6 linked regions of the Mus musculus genome follow. The protein of the gene in region 1 binds, or shares a complex with, the protein of each later gene. Links are inferred from orthologs where the notes say so. Each region holds a gene or a part of one and is shown in the gene's direction. Other genes may lie near its edges. The genes, in order: Bnip1, Stx5a, Vti1b, Stx18, Stx7 and Bet1l.

What was found.
Region 2: Bnip1 (region 1) and Stx5a share a complex: the UniProt entries of both Homo sapiens proteins name them as parts of the SNARE complex. The link is inferred for Mus musculus from reciprocal best matches to the Homo sapiens genes BNIP1 and STX5.
Region 3: Bnip1 (region 1) and Vti1b share a complex: the UniProt entries of both Homo sapiens proteins name them as parts of the SNARE complex. The link is inferred for Mus musculus from reciprocal best matches to the Homo sapiens genes BNIP1 and VTI1B.
Region 4: Bnip1 (region 1) and Stx18 share a complex: the UniProt entries of both Homo sapiens proteins name them as parts of the SNARE complex. The link is inferred for Mus musculus from reciprocal best matches to the Homo sapiens genes BNIP1 and STX18.
Region 5: Bnip1 (region 1) and Stx7 share a complex: the UniProt entries of both Homo sapiens proteins name them as parts of the SNARE complex. The link is inferred for Mus musculus from reciprocal best matches to the Homo sapiens genes BNIP1 and STX7.
Region 6: Bnip1 (region 1) and Bet1l share a complex: the UniProt entries of both Homo sapiens proteins name them as parts of the SNARE complex. The link is inferred for Mus musculus from reciprocal best matches to the Homo sapiens genes BNIP1 and BET1L.

What each region holds. Positions count from the first base shown.
Region 1 is NC_000083.6:26,779,684-26,783,878, forward strand, and holds the start of Bnip1 (vesicle transport protein SEC20), read left to right. Parts: upstream 1-1,395; 5' UTR 1,396-1,409; coding exon 1,410-1,493; intron 1,494-3,583; exon of another isoform or gene 3,584-3,649; intron 3,650-3,761; coding exon 3,762-3,854; intron 3,855-4,195. UniProt on the Homo sapiens protein: As part of a SNARE complex may be involved in endoplasmic reticulum membranes fusion and be required for the maintenance of endoplasmic reticulum organization. Also plays a role in apoptosis.
Region 2 is NC_000085.6:8,753,973-8,756,142, forward strand, and holds the end of Stx5a (syntaxin-5), read left to right. Parts: intron 1-816; exon of another isoform or gene 817-936; coding exon 937-1,096; 3' UTR 1,097-1,670; downstream 1,671-2,170. UniProt on the Homo sapiens protein: Mediates endoplasmic reticulum to Golgi transport.
Region 3 is NC_000078.6:79,169,659-79,173,673, reverse strand, and holds the start of Vti1b (vesicle transport through interaction with t-SNAREs homolog 1B), read left to right. Parts: upstream 1-1,215; 5' UTR 1,216-1,339; coding exon 1,340-1,454; intron 1,455-1,973; exon of another isoform or gene 1,974-2,056; intron 2,057-4,015. UniProt on the Homo sapiens protein: V-SNARE that mediates vesicle transport pathways through interactions with t-SNAREs on the target membrane. These interactions are proposed to mediate aspects of the specificity of vesicle trafficking and to promote fusion of the lipid bilayers.
Region 4 is NC_000071.6:38,126,230-38,129,729, forward strand, and holds part of Stx18 (syntaxin-18), read left to right. Parts: intron 1-702; coding exon 703-761; intron 762-1,814; coding exon 1,815-1,884; intron 1,885-3,500. UniProt on the Homo sapiens protein: Syntaxin that may be involved in targeting and fusion of Golgi-derived retrograde transport vesicles with the ER.
Region 5 is NC_000076.6:24,148,099-24,152,088, forward strand, and holds the start of Stx7 (syntaxin-7), read left to right. Parts: upstream 1-1,190; 5' UTR 1,191-1,310; exon of another isoform or gene 1,311-1,628; intron 1,629-3,990. UniProt on the Homo sapiens protein: May be involved in protein trafficking from the plasma membrane to the early endosome (EE) as well as in homotypic fusion of endocytic organelles. Mediates the endocytic trafficking from early endosomes to late endosomes and lysosomes.
Region 6 is NC_000073.6:140,853,584-140,857,730, reverse strand, and holds the start of Bet1l (BET1-like protein), read left to right. Parts: upstream 1-1,347; 5' UTR 1,348-1,491; coding exon 1,492-1,510; intron 1,511-2,565; coding exon 2,566-2,657; intron 2,658-2,909; coding exon 2,910-2,966; intron 2,967-3,107; coding exon 3,108-3,275; 3' UTR 3,276-4,147. Other genes in the region: Ric8a (synembryn-A), read right to left, coding at 177-260. UniProt on the Homo sapiens protein: Vesicle SNARE required for targeting and fusion of retrograde transport vesicles with the Golgi complex. Required for the integrity of the Golgi complex.

The sequences.
Region 1 (4,195 bases):
GGGATCTCCCTGCCTCTACCCCTTGAGTGCTGGGATAAAGTCATATGCTACCACACCCAGATAAAAAGGATATAGGAAAGCTTGTGTGGAGCTAAAATGCATGTCTAGTAGCTGCGGTGTTAATCAGTGCCTGTAATTCCAGCAGTTCTAGGTCATCCTTGGCTACATAGGTAGCTGGGAACCAGCTTGGGCTCTGTGAGACCCTGCCTCAGAAAAGCAAAGAAAATACTTAGGGCCTTTCACCTGTCCCGTGTGTTCTGTCATCGTCCTCCACCCCCTCTTCCTTCCACTTCTATAGCCTAACAAATCAAGTGCAGCTGCTGGGCAGAAGCATTTCATAGAAAATGGCCGCACGTAGGGAAGTAACTCCCAGAGTGTTTCTTAACAGTACATGTATAGCAACTAGTGAGCACTGAGTTCAATGCTACATTATCAACACCTCATTCCATCCTCTAGGTGACCTAACTTAGGAGTGATGCTACTGAGGAAACTGATTACAAGCCTGGAATCCAGGCCTTTGATACTTGCAGCCAGCTACTGAGCACCTTTTAGGAAGTGGGTGGTACAGGGTGCTTTGGGACAGGTAGGCGTGGAGACTGGGGGCTGTGTGTGCAGTTTGAGAAAAACATTTTAAAAAGAGGGAACCCATATCCAAGACGACAGAGCCTGGAGAATCCCGGAGGGTGGGGGAAAAGTGTCCAGTGGTGTTGAGGGCTTAAGAAATAATAATTTTAAAAAACACTACCCTTCTTTGAGGTTTGCACTGACATTGTTTCTATCACACCACACAGTCAGAACTACTCCTATGAGATACTTGGAATCCAATTCTACACAAAGGGCAGGACCAGAGCCATAGAAATGTGTAAGGACAACAATGCAGGATCATGGTTGTACTAATGGAGGTGCCCCAGTGACCTGTATTTAAGTCTGCACCTTTACAAGTTTTGTGTCTTCCTCCATAATGCATACCTACTGTATACATTTTGCTTTAAATTTTAAAGAAAAAAAATGTAACTTTGGTGACATCCGAATTGATCCTTTTTTTTTTTCCATCCAAAAGGTCACTAGAATAGCGGGTTGTTGTTGTATCTCTAGTACTGGGAACAAACCTGAAGGCCATGTGGCATGCCAGCCTATCATCACCTGAGTTGTATTTTCCCCTCCCCCCCACCCCAACTCTAATGGTTCTTCATAATCACATTCCACTTTTCCGTTTAGTAGGAGCAGACCAGAGAAGCTGTGCGTGTTCTACGTGACAAGAAAAGTTTCAGGTCTGGACTCTTGACCTGGTTTGATCCACACGGGGTCTCCCGCAGCATCACATTTGAAGAAGTACGGAAAGGCGGGCAGGAGCCACGTGAACGCGTTCAAGCTTGGCTGCTGCCGCTCGCCGTAGCCGCATTTCCAACATGGCGGCTCCCCAGGATGTCCACGTCCGGATCTGTAACCAAGAGATTGTCAAATTCGACCTAGAGGTGAAGGCGCTTATCCAGGTACAAATTCTTAGGCTCCTGTCCGGCTCTCGATGGCCGCCTTGACATCTTCCAGAATATTCGCGCCTGGTCCGGTTCCAGGATGGCTCCTAAGGCACCATTCGGTCGGTTCCCCGAGATCACTGACCTTCAGGCTTTTCTTTTGTGAACTGTTGGTTTGCCCACCCCTGAGTTACCCTAACACGCCGCTCCCTTTCCTTGGACTGCAGCCGTGCTGGGCTAGCCCGCCCACCCGCATTCTCGGCTGTAGCCCCGCCCCACCCCTCGCCCTGCTCGCCTCCCACGCCCACTTCCCTAAGTTAGGGACCCTGAGGCACCCAAAGCCACCTGGCCCGACAGTCCCTGCCCGAAGCTAACTAAGTTAACCTGGGACGTGGTTGTAATTTTTTGAACAAAGAATTCAAATATTGTGCAAGATCCTGGGTCAGAAGGCAGGCAGTGCCAGTATTAGGACCTGGATGGGGAAAGCCAGCCTAGGAAAATCATTTTAGAGCTTCCCTACCCGGAAACAGACTGGAAAATGAGGCGCTTATCTGGAAGCAGGTCTTAAGTAGGAGACAGTAGTGCAGGAACACAAGCAAGAACAGGGAATGTAGAAATGGCTCCAGAGTTTGGCAAAAAGAACCCAACCGGCTCAGAATACAAGCTGTGACAGCAAATAAGGAAAGGGTAGGGGTGTGACTCCGCTGGTGAGGACTTTGCCCAGCACTGGGTTCGCCATCCCCAGTGCTGCATAAATGGGCTGTGCCTAGCTGTTGGGGTAAGCTTGGCTTTACTAGCCCCTATAAAAAGGAGCATGGAGAGTAGTGCTCTCTGGTAAGCCAGATGTACACTCTGCCACATTAGCAGTTTATCCTGTGCTGTGAGGAAGTGTTGATTTTGTGAGTAAGCTAGAGAACAGGTAAAGAAACGCCGCAAACTTTACTCCTGAGATGTGCAAACAAAAAAAATGGGCCAATTCTAGAAAAATAAACAAGATTTATACAAGTGAGATTACCAGAGGCTGGGGGTAAATTTAGCTCAGAGTAGAGTTAAAGTTTAGCCATGTGCAAGGCTCTAGTTTCAGTCCTCAGAATGCACATGTAAATACATATACATACATAACACAGAGTTGCTAGGGTAGTGGCTCTAGCACTTGGGAGGCATAAGCAGGACCATCATGCATTTGAGGCCAGCCTGTACTACATAGAGTCTTCAAAAAAACAAAACAAAAAAACCCTTATATCCAAAATTTGAAAAGTTGGGTTTTCATATTATATCATAATATAAAATTATGTAATAGCATCATAATACTTCATATTATCATAGTTTCCTGTTAGGTAGGCCTCTGGTGACATATGTGTTTTGGGTTCTTATGGTTACTAGTGAGTAAGCATAGCCCCATACATTGTATTCTTTCAGTGTTCCAGCTATTCTGCTAAGTGTTCTACACAGAGAAATACCATCTTGACGTAGGTAAGGTGAAGAAATGGAGGCACAGAGAACTGAAGTTTTCCAAGACTGCACTAATAAATTGCTATACGCAGGATTTGAATATATGTAGCTTAAGTCTAGAACCTGCTCTAAAATTTGGCTCTCATAATTCTGACTTTCTTTCCAGAAGCAAATTCTCAGTTCATCTTTAAACGTTTTTGACTTGCGACAGATGGTTTGTAAAAATCAGACTAAATTAACTTTGTTACAGGTCACTAGGGATTTAGTTGGAAGGATCTGAACTTACAGTATTTTTTAGATGTCTATTTCTGTTGAACATGGAAGCTGTTTAAGCCTTTCCTAGTGGCACTTTGTTAAACATCTAAGACGAGGTTGAGGTTTACCTATCTACACACACAATGCATATGGAGTCTATGTGCATGCAGGGGTGTGTATTCATGTCTGTGTGCATTTGTGCATGCGTGCACATGAGTCTCTCTCTCTCTCTCTCTCTCTCTCTCTCTCTCTCTCTGTGTGTGTGTGTGTGTGTGTGTGTGTGTGTGTGTTTTGCTGCTGTTGAAAGCCAGGGCTCCAAGTATGCTCTGCAAGTGCTGTACTACTGAACTGTGCATCCAGTCTGTTTATTCATATTAGGCTCTCGGTGTTAATCTTACAAGGAATGAGGAAGCTGAAAATGAGGAGTTTGCTCTTGTGTGGAGGAGAGCAGCACTGAGCAGGACAAGGTAGAGCTTGGGCCACCTTAGCTGTGTCTGAATCTGCTTTCTCACTGTGCCGATGAGGACACTTCATTTCATTGACGGGAGAAAGGTCCCTCATCTCTTCCTTGCCTTCCAGGATATTCGAGATTGTTCTGGACCCTTAAGTGAGCTTACTGAACTGAATACTAAGGTGAAAGAAAAGTTCCAACAGTTAAAACAGAGGATCCAGGTAAGTGAGGCTACAAAGCCTGTTCTGGAAGGGTGGGTAGCAGGGGTGCGTGCTCTGGCCAAGAAGAATTTTTGCCTGAGAGTTGACCAGGTCCTTCACATGCCACCTGGAGAGAGTAGGAAACATTGTGACTGTGAGGGTGACTGGACTAACAAAGTTTGGAACCTACACACTCATTCATTCCCTACTTGAGTCCATTGCCAGAGTTTCCTTGGTGTTTCCGGTGCTATTATTTTGCACAGTAGTAGCCTCCTCCCGATTTCTGGAGTTACCGCCCCCACCTCATGCTCATGACCTCACTTTCCCTGTGGTGCGAGTGTTGTCTCAAAACACAAATGAGA
Region 2 (2,170 bases), on another chromosome or scaffold:
TACTTTCTATACTTACCTGCTGTGCTCTGGTTATGGGCACAGTTAAGACTGTAGCCAGCTTGCTGTGTGTGTGTGCTGGAATTCAAATTCAGGTCCTCTTGGTTGCCAAGCAAACACTTTCCTACTGAGCTGTCTACTCAGCCACTATATTTGGGTTTTAGGATTGCATACGTAGATTGGCTGGAAGTTTTGTTTGCTTTAGTAAGTTTTCAAAATTGTCCTTCCTCTGAGGAGTGGTTCCTCCAAGATAATGTTCTCTGGTTAGTTATAAGAGTTGTATTATCCTTTGAGTTCCTGTCTATATTAAGATTTTCCTAACCAGGATTTTCTGACTAATTAGCACAATGCAATACATGTTCATTACAAAAAAAAAAAAAAAAAAAGGAAATGTTAATGAGTAAAGCAGCATTTGGGGTGCTCCTAGATTGGAAGTTCATTTAATTCACTGAAAATTGAGACTTCATGAAAGGAGGTAGGGTTTATATCAGTTACCTCAATTTTCAGATGTGGAAGACTGGTTAAATAATTCAATCATAAGCTAATAACTGGAAGAACGTTTTAAAGCTAGAGGCGAGCATGATCTACTACCCTCAAAAAATGTGTGTGTGTGTGTGTGTCTATACACACACACATACAAGAGTTCACACAGGCTGGACAGTGGTGGTGCACGCCTTTAATCTCAGCACTTGGGAGGCAGAGGCAGGCGGATTTCTGAGTTCGAGGCCAGCCTGGTCTACAGAGTGAGTTCCAGGACAGCCAGGGCTACAGAGAGAAACCCTGTCTTGAAAAACAAACAAACAAACCAAAAAAAGTTCACACAGTATGAAACACTTTTTACTTCCACATATTGTAATCACCTTTCCATATCAATAAATGGATGTCTTCAATCTTCTTTTTAACCCAGTGTCCTTCTGTTTATCTCCTGGCTGTCTCCAGGATCGACGAGAATGTGCTTGGAGCCCAGCTGGATGTGGAGGCAGCCCATTCAGAGATCCTCAAGTACTTCCAGTCAGTTACCTCCAATCGGTGGCTCATGGTCAAAATCTTCCTCATCCTCATTGTCTTCTTCATCATCTTTGTGGTCTTCCTTGCCTGAACCCTCCTCCCTCATTCTGAGCCACTCCATGGAGGGCTTGGGATCCTCCTGGGAGGACAGGTGGCTACTATTGCCACTGAGCCTGTGCAAGGTGGTTGGGAGAAAGGCCATTTCCTTGGAACTGCTAAGAATGGCCAGTGTCCCTGATTCCCCACCCTTGTCTCTGGCCACTCTGTCCTATCCTCAGGCCCATGAAACACACTGGTTCTGGATTTGGACTCTGCTGTGAAGAGGCTGGGAACAGAAGCCAGCTAGGGGCCAGTGGGGGAGGTTGTCTCCACCTTGAGATTTTTATAAGCCTATAACCAGCCTCCCCCAAACGTAACTGGCAGCAAGAGGAGAAAACGCCCTTCCTTCTTGAGAGGCAAGAATCCTCAAGAAGTATCCAAGGGACCAACTTCATCATCTGGGTCAGCTAGAACTTGACTGCCGCCTTCTCCTCACCATGTGAGGTGAGGGGGCTCTGAGCCCTACAGTTGCCTGCACAAACCTGACTTTGGCTACTGGTGACTCTCAATATGCCAAACATGCTGCAGCCTATTTCCTCCCAATTACAGCAAGACTGTCAGCCTCACTAGTGTTGATGTCATTTCTGGGGGGGGGGGGGGGACTTCAGCAAAAAGCTAACCACTGCCCAATACCAGAACCAAAAGGGTTAAGTCAGTGACTCTGATGGGCCCCTACTGATAGGCAGGGTAGCTCCGGAGCTCTGTACACACAACTCCCCCCTAGAAGCGAGTAGCCAAGTACAGCAGCACTTCATAAGAGTTTTCCTTTGGACTAAGTGGGTTCATAATTGGGCGGCAACTTCCAAGACAGTACCCATAAGTTTGAGCCTGTTTTGTATCTTCAAATCAAGTCATGCTCCATGCCTACCAGCACCCCATCTGCTTCCCCCTCCCACAGCAGCATCTGGATCCAAGGCTGCAATAGTCCTAGCCACACCAGAAAAGTTTCCTAGAGCTCTTGGGTTTGACATTAAAGTTTCAGTCAACACTTGGGAGTTGGAAGCAGGTGAATTTCTTGAGTTTGTGGCCAACTTGGTCTACAAAGCAAGTTTCACAGAAACCCTGT
Region 3 (4,015 bases), on another chromosome or scaffold:
CTCTGTCTTCCAAGTGCTAGGATTAAAATTGAACAACAACACTCTTGAACTACCTTTTAATTTTATAAGAAAAATATTAAGACTTCGCACCACTGCTAACAACATCAGACTTTGTCATCCCTGCACACTGCGTTTTGTTTTTATTTTTTCATTGAATTTAACGGTTGGTGGATTCAAGCTTGTAAAACCCAGGGCTTCAAAGACAAAAATCACCAGGAACCCACTCCCACACACACCTTAGAAGATGGACTATAGGATTTGCTTATGCTAGATAAGTGTTGTACCCCTCGGTAACACCCTTTTATATATATATATATATATATATATATATATATATATATATATATATATATATATATATATTTCCATGTATAAATATTGAATCACCACGAAAACTTTTGTGAGTGGGCCCTTTGTTGGAAACCCTGCCAACAGTATACACAGGGGTTTATATCTATGGAAGGACAGAAAGGACTTCGTAATTGTTGATATATTTCACATAAGGGCAGATAAGATGGGTCTGTCTTCCACACCAAATCATACATTACCCAAGGGCAGAGACAAAATTACTTTGATCAATATATAACTTTGGTTTATCAAAATGTCTATTCTTAACATGTTGTGAATGAGAACCCGGGGCAGCCTAATGGTCTGGACTGGTTCAGCCGCTAAAAGCTGTGGGTATTCTGGGATCACACTGCCCATTTTCCGGTTCTGAAAACATGTGACCCTGGCCACTTAATCTCTCCACTTTTATTAGAGTTATACCATCCGAGGGTAGGCAGGCCTCTGCTCATCTATCTAGGGCTGAGACTGAACATTTAGACGGGATATGAAGTCAGGTGGCAGAAGGAACTGCGATGACAGCGAGGGGCGTGTGCTAGCCAGTCTGCGCAACACCGCTGGCACTCCGGGCCCTCCCTGCACGGCCGTCCTCCCTCACTTAACTACAATTCCCAGTATGCACTGCAGGACCGGCGGGCCCGGATGAGGCGGCCGAGGCGCCAGTCCCGCGGGCTCCCTCGGGCCCTTCCCTTTGGTACCTCCTCTGTGCCCACTGTTTGTCTCCAGGTCGGAGCCACCGGCTCGTCTTGGCGCGAGACCGCGCCCCTGTAGTAGCTGAGTGTCGTCCCCGCCCCGGCTTCTTGTCAGGCTTTGGCGCCCGGCGCCCGTGCAGTGACAAGCAGGGGGAGGGCGTCCGGCTCCGAGGACCCCGGAAGCGCCTGATTCCGGGAGGCCGAGGTGCGGCTGCAGTGATGGCTTCGGGGCTGGGCAGCTGATTGCTGAGGTGGGAGTGGGCCCAGCGCCCGGTGGCCGCAGCTCACGCGCAACCTGCGCCATGGCCGCCTCCGCCGCCTCCTCCGAGCATTTCGAGAAGCTGCACGAGATCTTCCGCGGCCTCCTTGAAGACTTACAAGGGGTGCCGGAGCGGCTGCTGGGGACCGCGGGGACAGGTGAGGCGGGGGCGGGACCAGGCCGGGAGGACTCCGCAGGGTGCAGGATCCCAAACACCGACCCGGGGCTCCCCGCTTCCCCTTTGGGCACGCCCCCTGCTGCTGTCGGGCCCCGGACGCCCAGGGTGTGCTGCCTCTTGTGGTGACTGGGGGCGTGCAAAGGGATAGACATTAGGATGTCCTCTCCTAGCGAGCCTTTAGTTATCTTCCTCTCCCAGTAGCATAGGGCATTCTTCAATCTGTGCTCCTGTGACAAAACAAAAAACAAAAACAAAAAACAAAAAAAACCCTTAATTTGGAGTTGGGCATGTAGGAGTTTGGCATTTTGGTAGGCAATGAAATTTTAAAAATAGTTGTAACCATGGAGATTAGCTTATATGTGAGACAGTGGCGGGAGGTGAGGGGAGGAAGACAGCTACATTGGAGAGGAACCGGAAGTCTCACATTTAGACTTTTTTGACGTACTAGGGTAAATCCTTAAGGAACATAAGCAGCGGAGTAATGTGGATTTCATTTTAGAAGCAAGGCGGCGGATAGCTGGATAGAGGATGTGAGAATGGCTATAAGAGACTGTGTTAGGAGCTTCTATGACAGTTGACTGGGTAAGCATGCGAATCTGGAGAGTGAGCATTAAATCCAACAGGTGGTGCCGAGATTTATGAGACTGGTGGATGTGAGGAGGAAGATTGAGAAGGGGCCGTGTCTTCTCACGTGATCAGTTGAATGAATGAACTTAAATAAGAGGCGCATACTCGTTTGAGCTGGAGATGAGAATGTCTACCTGTGCATTAAAGATAACAGTGTATGACAAAATATTTTTCTGCCATTCAAGAGATTGCCAGTGGTGAACACTTTTAATCCCAGCACTTGGGAGGTAGAAACAGAATCTCAGTGAGTTCAAGGCCAGCCTGGTTTTACACAGCAACACAGAGTTCCAGACCAGCTAGATTCTTCTATCTTGAGACTCTATCAAAAATTAAAAAAAAAAAAAAAAAAAAAGGAAGGAAGGAAAGAAAAGAGTTCTAGAGTCAGATTATCTAAGTTACATACACCTTTTATTAGCTATGTGACTTTGCAAGTTATTTTAACCAAACTAGTTTCCACTATAAAGTAAAACGTAGCATCTGACTTCATGGAGTTTTTGTGGGGAGTAAATGAGATATGTAAAGCTATTAAAAACACCGTCTGGCAACAGTAAGAGCTACCAGCTATTATTAATATGTGTTTGTTGTTTTATTTAGAAATATTAGCTCTCTACACAGTTATTCTTAGGATGCTCTTTTTGCTTGCTTGTTTTTGTTTTTTTGGGTTTGTGTTTGTTTTTCAAGACAGGGTTTCTCTGTGTAGTCTTGGCTGTCCTGGAACTCTCTCTGTAGACTAGGCTGGCCTCAAACCACCTGCCTCTGCCTCCCAAGTGCTGGGATTAAAGGCTTGTATTGCCATTGCCCAGCCTCAGAACACTATTTTCTAATGTACTCATCACTTTGCATATTTATGATACAGTGTATTGTTTTTGTGTTACTAGGAAAGTAGTTTGGAATTGTAGTCTGTGAATCAGCCCATCAACACCATCTGGGAACTTGAGAACTGCACATGCTCAGGCCCCATTCTGACTCACAGAATCCAAAGCTTACGGCAAGCAGTCTGCCTTAACTACACTCGAGGGATTTCTAGTGCTGGCTTAAGTTTGAGAGCCAGTGAACTGGAAATGAAATAGTATTTTTGTTTGTTGTTTGTTTGTTTGATCGTTTAGCATGTGTCCTAAACTCCCTGGAACAGTACACAGCACATCCTAGGTATCTGACAAATATTTACTAGATATGTTTGGGGTGGTGGTGCATACCTTTAGTAGCACTTAGGAGGCAGAGGCAGGGAATCTCCATGAGTTCAAGGCCAGCCTAGAGTACACAGTGAGACCCTTTCTCAAATAAACTACATATTGTATTTGTTAAATTATTGTAAAAATCAATTTTTGGTTGTTAAAGGTCTTAGAAGGTCTATGAGGTCTTAGAAGAAAGTACCTGGGTATTGAAGCAGAATAATTTCTCTTTTTTTTTTTTTTCACATTTTCATTACTCTTCATATTGATGTATATACATTGGTTAAAACAACCAGAGTGAAAGAGATACTTATTTCCCCAAAGTATAGTCTGTATTCTCATGGCCCTTGAAGGGTAGCTGCCACCATGTATCCTAATTTAGGAGGGTTTTGTGGCAGTAACAGTTTTACCATGTATGGTAAGTATTAGCCTAATTATAGCATTCATCACCTACAGCTGTAATTTCTTATCTTGGCTTTGCATCATCTGAAGAGGTTTCTCTAAAGCCTCAGAAGGGATGGAATTTTGTCATCTGATTAATATGTTAAGTGCTAATAGTTATTGTTTCAGGTTTTGGTTTTCTGGTACTTGGAGACATTTGTCCTTGTGATAAAATTATTGACAGTTTTCCATTTTAATTTGCTTGAAGTCCAGTATCGATACCTGAGACCTCAGTTTTGTTTGTTGTGTGTATACATGTAGAGCTCAGAGGACAGTTTATGCTTTCTTGTTTTACTGCATG
Region 4 (3,500 bases), on another chromosome or scaffold:
TAATATGTACCTGAGGCCTCTTCTGCTGGGCCAGGTAGCTCCAACAGGGAAGCAGTGCACTGTTGTCATAGGCAGTGGGGTACTGAGCCCAACACGAGGAGCCATGTATTACCTGAGTTCTTTTCAGAGCATTCTGCTCAGGATCTAGACTGTACTCCACAGAAGGAAAACTAGGACAAGCCAGTATGAAGCAGGTGTGGAGCTTACTCTAAAAGGGCAGTGGGGCTACCTCTAGGCAGTGGGCAGCCCTGGTGCTGTCACACAAGGCCCTGGGAGGTCAAAGGTCTGTCCCTGTCACAGGCCAAGGAGCCTGCCAGCCTCTGCCCCTCAGTCTTCCCCACACCAAGTTCTCTGTCTAAAATGCTGCACCTGGAGATAGGCGGCAGCCGTGGAATCAAAGCGGAGTGTGTCTGAAGCCGCAGAGGCAGCTTCCTCTGCTCAGCAGTTAGTCTGAGTGTCAGCTGCTCCTGAGTTCAGACCCAGGAGGACTCTGAAGTCAGCGTAGCACAGTTGGTCTTTGGACTGGCAAGCATTTTCCTCCCAGAGTACAGTATTTTTCAGACAATCTGCTGGCAATACCCTGTGCTGGCCGACGGGACTGGGCAGGGATCCTTAGAAGGTGGGTGGAAGGTCAAAGGTTCCTTGTTGCCCCTTTCTTGAGTCCCATCTGATATCATTCTGAGTGTGTGTGCTTCTTTGCAGTTTGAACAAGAAAATCAGCGACTCATTGGTGAAATGAACAGCTTGTTTGACGAAGTGAGGTATGTATGTAGCTAGTAGCTTGATGACAGTTTTCCCAGATACTGGGGGCTCTTTCCAATTGCTTTGGCATCCAGGCACCCACGTGTAACAGGGCAGGGCCGGCTGAGCCTGTGGGAGGAGCCTGGCTGCTACAGTAAGCTTGTGGGTGCTGCAGCATGCAGAAAGCACACACTAAAGACAGTCTGTCCCAAACGCAGAACCATAGCACTAGCACGGGGCTGCTTGGGTGGAGTGGCTGTAAATGCAGTGGGGGCCTTGTGAAGGAGTCCTGCTTCCAGGTGACCAGGCTCACACCCACTTGCCAGTGAACTGCAAGCGCCCGTGTTCCACAGGAGCGTGGCAGTGCTGTGGAAGCAACAGCTGAGTCTTTGCAGGACCCCATTCCATTCAGAGTGTGGCCCTTCCCGGCCTGGGACTTACTCAGGGTAGGGGTACTCCCTGGGACAGCCCCAGGGTTATTTTGTCCCAGAGGTGGCTCTCTCGGGCCTCTTCTGCCCATCCACTTGCTGTTCTTCTCCATGCCCTGGTACTGCTCCTTCCATGTCTCCTGTCTGCCCTTCCCATATTTTCTAGAGGGAATCCCTCGCCACTCACACCTTTCTCCTGCCCCTGACCCAGCTGTGCTGGAGTAGGGAAGGTCAGTCTGAGCCAGCTTCCACTCTCAGCCCCTCAGCCCCAGCCTGCCCCATGGTGGAAAGGCTCAGCCAGTGTTTCAGGTTGGGCAAGCACATGATTGCTAAACCAGACGTGGTGATCACAGACTGTACTGCAGCATTGTCTTGCCATAGGGAGCTGGCTTGAGAGAGAAATAATACTTTTTTTTAAAGATGGGCTTTCAAAGTAACCATGCCTTTGCTTCTCCAGCATGTATCACAAGGTAACTAGGCTATGCAGAGGACCTACCATGCCTGCCCAGCTCCTCCTCCTGTCTGGCATGGCTGCCCTTCCTCTTTTGCTATCACTTTAATGTTTCCTTCAGAAAAGTGTACCATTCATCTTAGATTACCAGGAGCTAACAGCTAACATGTCACCTGTCCATTCTTTTTTTGAAGGCAAATCGAAGGGAAAGTCGTTGAAATTTCCAGACTCCAAGAGATATTCACCGAAAAGGTTTTGCAACAGGTAAAAGGATCCAGAGCCCAGCAGTTTTGAGTCTTGACTTAGGACTGACAGAGAGCTTGGAGCCCTCTTCCAGAAGCCTCTGAGTGATGCCGACTAGACAGCACCATGTTCTGTTAGCTAGTCACATCACTCAGAGCACCCTGACCTAGCTTCCATCAGCCCGCAGCAACCCTCTGGGGCACAGCTGAGGAGCAGAGTGGCCCCTGTGAGCTAGAGCATCCAGTGGTACTAGGAAGGTGCAATCCCTCCACACCATCCCCCACCCCCATCTGTAGAAAGGGATGAGACCACAGGGCTGCTGTTGTGTTCACAGGTGAGCACAGAAGCACTCTGCACGGTGCAGAATGGAGAGCTGCTTTTCAACCCACTGTGCTCCAGAAATTAGGGACAGCCTCTCAGCCAGCCCCTGCTGCTCCTGGAGCACAGCTGAGAGGGGGAAGATTGCTCCCCGGTGAGCTTAGGACTAAAACATACCTTCCTCTTCTCTCCGGGACGTTGGCTCACTCACAGCTGCCTGAACCTCACAGCAGAGTTGAGTCAGCATGGATGAGGTAGAAGCTAACAACATTTGGGAGTACACGGTCATAAGAATAAGATTCACAGGTATCTTTTTTAAAAGAAAAAAAAAAAGATTTATTTATTTTATTTATATGGGTACACTGTAGCTGACTTCAGAAACAACAGAAGAGGGCACCAGATCCCATTACAGATGGTTGTGAGCCACCATGTGGTTGCTGGGAATTGAACTCAGAACCTCTGGAAGAAAAGTCAGTGCTCTTAACTGCCAAGCCATTTCTCCAGCCCTCTTCATAAGTATCTTAAAGATCTACCCAAGCCACGTGTGTGAAGGCCATGAACCCTGGAGACAGACTTTGTGCAGACCCTTGGCCTAATGGCCATGTCAGCTGCATGACAGAGGAAGCCATCAAAGCAAGTGAGCTGGCACCGCAGCTCACTTTGGGGAGAGTCACTTTGTCTAAAGCATAAAGCTTTCAGGGTGACCAGGTTGCACTGTGGATACTCCACCCTGTGCACTGTGGCCAGTACTTCTCCTCAGCCCCATTATCTGAAGTACAGCTAGTGCTCCAGGCCTCTCTCTCAGAGCCAGCAAGTAGTACCACTGACCTATCTGGCCCATGGCAGGCCTTTCGGTGGGACTCTGACCAAGCCAGGTAGTGCCCTGCTGTAGTAACACCACATATGCCACCATGAATATGTTCTCTACATGGTAATCCAGTGACATACCCTGGCTAGCCATACAGCAAAGGGAATCACAGTCTTTTAGGCTCCAAGGTCTAGAGGCTGCACCCACACAGCCTGGGAATCGTCACCAGAGAGGTGGGCATCACCCAACACAAAGAGAGGGAAATTTATGGCTCAGAGATATCTACTAGCTTACAGAGGGTCACATACTGTCTGAGTGGCAGGACTAGGATAAGGCTCTTGTCAGGTTGTACAGCTCACACTATCTCCTATCTCTCCTGTGTCACTCACCAAGTGACAAGGACAAATATGAACTGCTGATACTGGCCTCTCCTCTAGCATTGTTTATTCTTTATAAGGTCTAGAAGCCAGCTTCATGATGTTACAGGCTTTGAAACACATTAGCCATACAA
Region 5 (3,990 bases), on another chromosome or scaffold:
CTATGATGGACTAATACTTCTAAAAGTTCACAGTGGAGATGATAGGTAGAACTCAGGGGTAGATCAACTACCTGAAATGTGAGGCCTTGGGTTTGATCCCTCATTCCTCAAAACAAAACCACAAACAACCCGGGACAATGATACAGGTCTGTACTCTGAACGATGAGGCAGGTTGCAAGTTCAAGGTCTACCTGGATTACAGAGTGAGTTCAAGGTTAATATCTGGGTAACCTGTGTAGACTTTGTTTCAAAAACAACAACAACAACAACAAAAACCACTGGAGATAGAGGACAGAGTGAAGGCCTCTCATGTCCAAGGACCTTGGTTCAATTTCCAGTGCTGGACAAAACAGCAAACCTCAACAGTTCACCATGGCCCGAGCTGAATCACATGACTTTAAATGAGTACATGTTCTTTGATCCACTGGGTGGATCCTACTGAGAAGACGCTGTGTTTGAGTCTGACCTAAGTCATCTACGTATGCTTGCAGGTGTAAAACCAACCAACATACAGTTTGCTCTGTGGTTCTGATTCACAATAGTATGGATTCCCCCTACCTCCACTTGAAGTCTATCGAACTTTTGGTATCATGTGTTTTCATGCTCTTTCCAGAAATAACACCATCTTAATTATAGGCAAATCCAAGGCAATCTATTCTAATTAATTTGGCAAAGTATTTCTTTCACATGAACAACTGATGTTTCTCATCCGAGAGGTCACATGCTTGAAGAGTTATTGTTGGAACAGTGTGTGCTCTTAAAGCCTGGGAAAACCACATCCTGTATTTCAAGGATGCGATACCAACTATGAGCCAGGAAAACATCTTTATCAAGTGGGCATTAGGAGATTATCTTTCATTTATCCTTCCGGGGCTTTAGCTAGGATTGCCTTGACATTTTTGCAGTGACATTTTAAAAATGGAGTTGTCAAGTCTACCACAGAGCTGAGGGTTAGGAAACAGAACCTTTAAAAGCTGAGAGTGCTCCCTCAGTCCAGGGAGTCTGGCGCCTCCGAATAAAGAACCCAGCTCTTCTCTATTGTATTGCTTCCTCTTCTGTTGCCCATAGACATCACTTTGTCACCCATCAGAGCTTGGCTCCCCAGCAATTTTGCCAGTCCCTCCAAGCTTCAGCTGTCACTGGCCAATGGGAGAGACGCAAGCCCCGCCTCCTCCTTCCTGGGGCTGTGCCCCGAGCATGCGCAGTGGGCGTGCTTGTGCCGCCGCCCATCAGCTGAGACCGGCTGCGCCAGGCAGTGGGCCCCCGGGTGACAGCGGCTGGAGGTGGCCGAGGAAGCCGGCGAGGTCAGGGTAAGAGGAGACTGCAGAGGCGGGGGAGAGGGGGGCGGGAGGGACACCTCAGAACTGCAGCTCGCTAGTGGTTGCTTTGGGGTGCGCAGAGCGGGGCTCCCCAGGGCGCAGGGCCGGCGCCTCCCTCTCGGGCTCCCACGCCCCGCTCCGGACTCCGGGACGCGACGTGCGAGCACCGGGGCGCGCGGCAATGGAGCCTTGGGGACCGGATACTACCGCCAGATCCTGGCAGGCTACGACCGTGTTCCCATTCTCTGTCAACTTCTCCTCCGAAGAACAGAAAGGGAAACGCGATGGGCCCTGGTCATCTGGCCACAGGTTCGTTCCGCGGCCCAGGGCCTTTGCTTGGCTGTTGGCCTTACTCACACAAGCTAACTTTCTTTGACCTACCTTGTGCTCGTTTCAATTGATTTATGCAAGACACATAACAAGGTAACAAGGTATTTCGAGAATTCGCATATGTGTTTTCTAGGTTAAATTCAGACCAAAAAAAAAAAAAAAGCTTGGACGAGGGTGGGAAGAGGAAGGAAGCTTTACAGTCAAATGCTAATTTTTCCTTATAGCTGTTAAAATTTTGCTTGCATTTTATATGCATATATCAATTTTTGATTGCGTCAGATCTCGTATTTTGTCAGGAATTATTATTTACAAGTTTTCCACAATCAGGAAAATAAAAGGAATTAACTGTGAAACACTGGTTTGGTCCTGTTGGAGGTAGGCATTTCTTTTAGGTGTACTCTGAGCCGCAGTGAACAGAGATTGATAACACTGTTAAATTGTGCCTTGTGGTGCCGATGGGTCTTCGGCTTTGCAAGCTGCTTTCGAAGTTGGCCCCCAGGCTTGTGACTAGTTAAGAACGAGGCTGTAGTTTCCCAGTGTCTGGGGAAGTTAATAGAACACAGTATTAACTCACTGACCTCTGGGTTCTTTTCCTTCAGCTAGCTCACTTCTTATGCTGCTCCTGATTAACAGTCGTTTCTAATTCTGATTATTATCCCAAGTTCATCCATACGCTGCTGGTGGAAAATTATGAATAATTATGTTGAGCTATATGCCACTAAATGGTGTGTGCACAAGGCCCTGGTTCAGTCCCCAGTACTGCAGGGAAATATTACCTCTATGTCTACTAGTACTGCTAGATAAAACTCCCACAGTTAAGTCTGTGTGGATTTTTCTCTGGTTCAGTGTAACTTGAAATATTAATGTGTGAAACTGTGGAGGAAAAAAAATCTTGGTTAATTAAGCTGAAACCAAACAGTGTAGCGTTTGGATTGATGAAGGAGCTGGGCAAAGATGCACTTGTGGACCGAATACTCATATGGAAGATTGAGCACCCTCATGATTGATTGTCTCCTATGATTCCTCTCCTGTTTGTTTTAGGAATTGAAAACAAAGAGTGTGAATGCTCCCATCTTCTAAGTATGATGCATCGCTTGAAGTAGAAGTTACATTGATAGAGACTTCTCATTTCAGACCTGGCATCTTTAGTGTGTGATAACACCTTACTGAGACAAAGAGCTAGTCCTCAAAGGGGCTGGGTGTGTATCATGGAAAGGGCCATCTACAGATAGAAAGGGACACTGAGAAAAGCCCAGGTAGCAATAAGCCTGAAACAGTATTTTAGAAATGTTTATATTTACTCTTAGGCTGGGCATGTGTTCATAGGAAATCGGTACACTTGTTCATTCAGACTTACAACATTTATTCAGGATCTACTTTGTAGCCAAGTACTTAGAGAATAGACTAAGTCCAAGATTTACACTCCCCCACACACCACACATACACACACACACAAACACACACATACACACAGCACACACACACACCATACACACACTCCACACGTACACACCACACCCCACACACACATATACACCACACACGCAATACACTGCACACACATACCACACACACTCACACACCATACACACACATCATACACACCACACACACACACACACACACACACACACACACACACACACACAAAAATTAAAACCTGGGGAACAAAGGAGGAAACTCATATTTTATGCTGGGCTTCATGATTAAGAAAGTGAAACTGACCATTTGATTTGAGCAGGCTAAATTTTAAGCCAGTGTCTGCTCAGAGGAAGTCTTCAAGATTCTACAGTATGTCCATTAGTAACTACAGGGTAGTGTTTTACATTCAAGACTCTGTATCAAAATCCCCTTTGTTCATTTTTAAATTGCCCTTTCCACACAGTCTTGAGACAGCGCTCACTATAGGTGTTACTGTTTGACTCTCCCGTCTCCTCTTTCACCTTAGTGTTTATCTTCATAAAAAGATAATTACTGAGCTGTTGAGTTGAACCCTGCCCAGTAGTACTTTCTGTGGGGGATGAAGGGAATATGTGAGCTGTCCCAGCTGCTGGCCACTGGCCACATACAGTTTCTTAGCACTTGAAAGGTGGCCGAGGTGGCCTTCTTCTACCTTAGTTCATTTTGATAGTTGTGTGCAGGCAGTGCAGGTGCACATGAGGAGTGATGTAATTATTTTGAGCAAAGACACTAGGACACAAATGCTTTGAGTATTGCAGCTCAAGCTAGGCAATGCAGATGGTTATAGAGTACAAACATTTTATAAGCATAGAGTTAATTAGCTCACATGTAAAAACAGACTTCAGAGCCATTTGTCAATAACTGTCTATAAACATAAGTG
Region 6 (4,147 bases), on another chromosome or scaffold:
CCTAGCCTCCCATACACCTGCCCCACCACACGCCACCACAGAGCCACCCGAGGGACCAGCCCACCACCCACCGCCGTGCTCCCTGCCACCACTCGCACGCACACCCCAGCCGAGTTGCGCGCACACCCCTGCTTCCTCTCTTCCTGAAATTTCCTCGGCAGCCGGATGCCTCTCACCTCCCGGTTGAACGACCGCAGAGCTTCTGTCACCGCATCTTCCTCTCCGGTCTCCAAGGCATCCGCAACTGCCCGGGGCTCCATGGCCCCTGGCACCGGGTGCTGGAAGGCTTGGGCTGGGAAGACGCAATCGGCCAAACCCCGGGGCTCCGCCCAGGTCCGGAAGCCCGGCGTCCACGCGTGAGGGATGCTGGGAGAGCAGCCGAACCCAAGGGTGTGTACAGGCGCCTCCGACTTAAGGTGGAGCAACCCGGCTGTGGTCGCTGAGCGGCTAGTCTTGGAGCGGCGATGCTAGCTAACCAGCCAGGCAGTGTCCTCCTTTTGAGCCCTCCTCTCTAGCCCGAGTTCCTGGCAGGCGGGGGGTGGGGTGGGATGGGAGGGTGGGGAGTGGGGTGTGGCTTGGCCCGCGCGTGGACCGTCCTCTTTACGCTCTTGTCCCCGTACTGTGATAAAAAAGGGAGCGCCGGCTCCTGGCCGCTTAATCAGTTGGGGAAGACGATTCTCGCGATCCAGGCCTTGGAGCTCATCTTCCATAGGGAATAGGGAAAGAGAAGTACAACGACTTGGATGGTCAAAATAATGCACGTGGTTAGCCGGGCATAGTGACGCACGCCTTCTTAAATCCCAGCACTCGAGAGGCAGAAACTAGCAGACCTATCTAAAAAGAATAGCCACCAAAGTAATACGGTTATTCTCAAGAAAATTGCAGAGAAGGAAGTGAAGAACACCCGTGGAAAAGCCACTCCCGCGAGAGGAGCAACGGAGGGGCGGCCAGCCGAGGCGTGTCTGAGGTTAGAAGCGTAGGAGCGCTGTGTAGCGGGGAGCCAGGTCCGCACGCCACTTAGCTGAGTCGGTGCCCCACAGTGACACATACAAACAGTGCTCCAGTGGATGATGTCACCCGCCGTGCTAACCGGCTCTGCCCCTACTCAGTGGCAGGCCCCGGCCGTCTCCTTCACCAGTCTCTTTCGGGTCTGCCTGTCCTCCCCATCCAGTTGGATTTAGCAGCGCCAGAGGCATCCGACTGATTTACTGAGCTGGTTCCTAGCCTCTGCTCCAAATTTGGGTCTGAACACCTGCTCCGAGTAACACCCACAGCGCAGGACTAATATTGCTGACCAATCCGTGGGTCCGAATGCTGGTGGCCCGCCCTTCCCTTATTTACATTCCCGAGAAGCACTCCAGGTCTGTTTCTTCCGCTTCAGAACCTTCTCCCGGAAGTTATTAGCCCGGAGGCGGAACCGGAAGACCCGGGTACTGGTGCCACGTCCGTTGCTGTGCTGCGAATTCCCTGAGTGGGACCCTGGAGGGCGCGATGGCAGATTGGACTCGAGGTGAGAGCACTTGAAAGGCAGTAGAGGTAGGAGGGGAAGTCTAAGTCTGGAGCTGGAGACATCGCTCGTTTCTCGGTGGAAGGACCTGCGTGGGGTGGCGCTTACGTATCCCTGGAAAAACAGGGCCGGATTTCGCCTGGCGCTGCCTTGGAACCCAAGCCGGCATGCCATCAGTTTTGTGTGTGGTTGATGCCAAGAGCTGGAAGCAGAGGGTCCAAGCAGGGTTTTACTAATGAGGGGCCTGAGTGCCTCGGTTCACACACATTCCCCGCCCCCGTGCCTGTGTTCAGTGTGACAGTTGTGATACTGATGCTTCGCCCACAACGATGACTATGCAGTGGTCGGTAGGACACAGCCGTCTGTCTTTCAGAGTCTGGTCGCACTTGTTTGCTGGTGCTGCTGGCCTTCCCCTTAGGTGGGTCACATCGAGGCTGGGTGGGTGGTTTTTATGCTTCAGATCGGTGCTAGTCACACTTAGGGGGGTGATTCTCAACTACCTGTCCCTGTCCATCGGAGTTAGGTTTCCACGAGCACAGTGCTCTGGGCATTCCAGAGATTCTGTGTGGGTTGCAGACATAGGGCGAGGTAGTTTCTACAGTAGAAGGACTTTCTTACACTTACCTTGGATCTGATTTCCAAGTCCTCCCCACACAGCCTTCCTGTCACCTGCTGTGCCACCGGCTGTTCTGTTTTCCCTATGGTCCCTATCAGAAAGTACTGTTTCCCTTTGAGACCGGCCCCACACCCTCAGATGACAATTTCAGCTAAGGCAATATTCACTTCGGTTCAGGAACAGTATACAGCAGGGTCGTGTATGTAGATTGATTGGATCTTCAGGCTCCCCAGCCCGTCCTTGCCTGGGCATGCACACAGGTTCTCACACGACCCATGCTACATGTCTGATGTGTAGGTGGTCAGCCTGTTGGAGCATAGGGTGGGACGTGCTAAGTTAGCAGAAGTATATGGGGGAATGCGCTTAGATGTCTCCACTGGAGTGAGGAATCAGGGACCACATGTCTGAGGGAATGCTATCCTTCCGCCTCTTTCTCTCACAGCTCAGAGCTCTGGTGCTGTGGAGGACATTCTGGACAGAGAGAACAAGCGGATGGCTGACAGCCTGGCCTCCAAGGTGACCAGGCTTAAATCGGTCAGTGGTGGCCCTCTTCCCTTCCGTGAGATACTTTGGTGGGTGGGGCTGAGAGGGGAGGAAGGAGGCCGTGTGCTGTCTGTGGGCATTGCTGACTGGAGAAGTGCTTCAGGTAATAACTTGGCCTTTTTTTTAGCTTTCTCTGGTAATAGGTACTTTTCAGAGTCGTGGGTAAAATGTAGCTGGTCTGAAGGGAAGGTGGGCACTACTCTCTGTGGCTTTGCTTGACGGTGCCTTCTGTATCCCAACCAGCTGGCTTTGGACATCGACAGGGACACAGAGGACCAGAACCGTTACTTAGACGGCATGGTAAGTGCCCGCGGTACGGGTACGTACAAATCATAGTCAGCTCCGCCCACCTGCCGTCTGCTCTGCTGGGTCTTCGCTGCTAGTGTGGTTGGGTAGTCAAGGGTCCCAACTCTATGTGACCCTGTTGGGTCTCTCCCACAGGACTCAGATTTCACAAGTGTGACTGGCCTACTCACGGGGAGTGTGAAGCGCTTCTCCACGATGGCACGGTCTGGGCGAGACAACCGGAAGCTTCTGTGTGGTATGGCTGTGGTCTTAATCGTGGCCTTCTTCATCCTCTCCTACCTCTTGTCGAGGACAAGGACGTGAGCCAGTGGGAGCCAAGGGCAGCCAGGCTCTTGTACACCTGGCATCCTGGTTTCCTAAGGACCTGACTACAAAAAAAAAAAAAAAAATCCCTTTGAAATTATCATCATGGGTCATTCATCTTCCTAAGTCAGGACGACTGCAGCTGCCTCTGTCATAATGAGCTCATCTTGGCTTGTCCTGTGTATGAAGGAAGAAGAAAAAGGCAAAAGCCAATGCCACTCCCTGGTGCTAAAGACACTGGCAGAGCCAGAGCCATGTTGTGTGAGATCAAGCCAGGTCTATGCAAAGCATCTGTGAGTCCCAAATGGGCCCACTGTGGCCATCGGCCACACTCCTCAGAAGCCAGGATCTTAAGGGCCTTCTGGATTGCCCTAACCTGTTTATGCCTGGTTTAAACCCGTGTCTGTGTCCTTGAAGAGTCTGAAACTGACACCAGAAGGGAATATGGCCGTGAGCCCTCTCCAGATGATGGTCATTGGCTGAGGCTGCTGATGAGGAGTGGACCTGGGCAGGCTGTACCCACCAGTCACTGGCAAGAGGCAAAGCCGTGGATAGAGGAGTGGACTGCAGTCCAGAGGCACTGGACTAAGATCCTTCTGGGCCACAAGGCCAGGTGTCCAGGAGCACAGGCACAGATGTGTGTGTCCTTGGGATTGAGAATCTTATCAGTGTCAAAGATGTCTCCATCCCCAGACAGACAGACAGAGAGCTGTACCAGGTGGCTTTTCAGAGCCAGGCCGTGCTGGGGTGCTCTCTCTGCTGGGGATCCTTATGGGGCCGGAGGCCACCTAGGAAAGCATTTGTGTAGTGGGAGCTTTTGACCTTGTACTGAACCTTGCCCTACCCTGTACAGCCAGTCTCCCTCGGTGTGA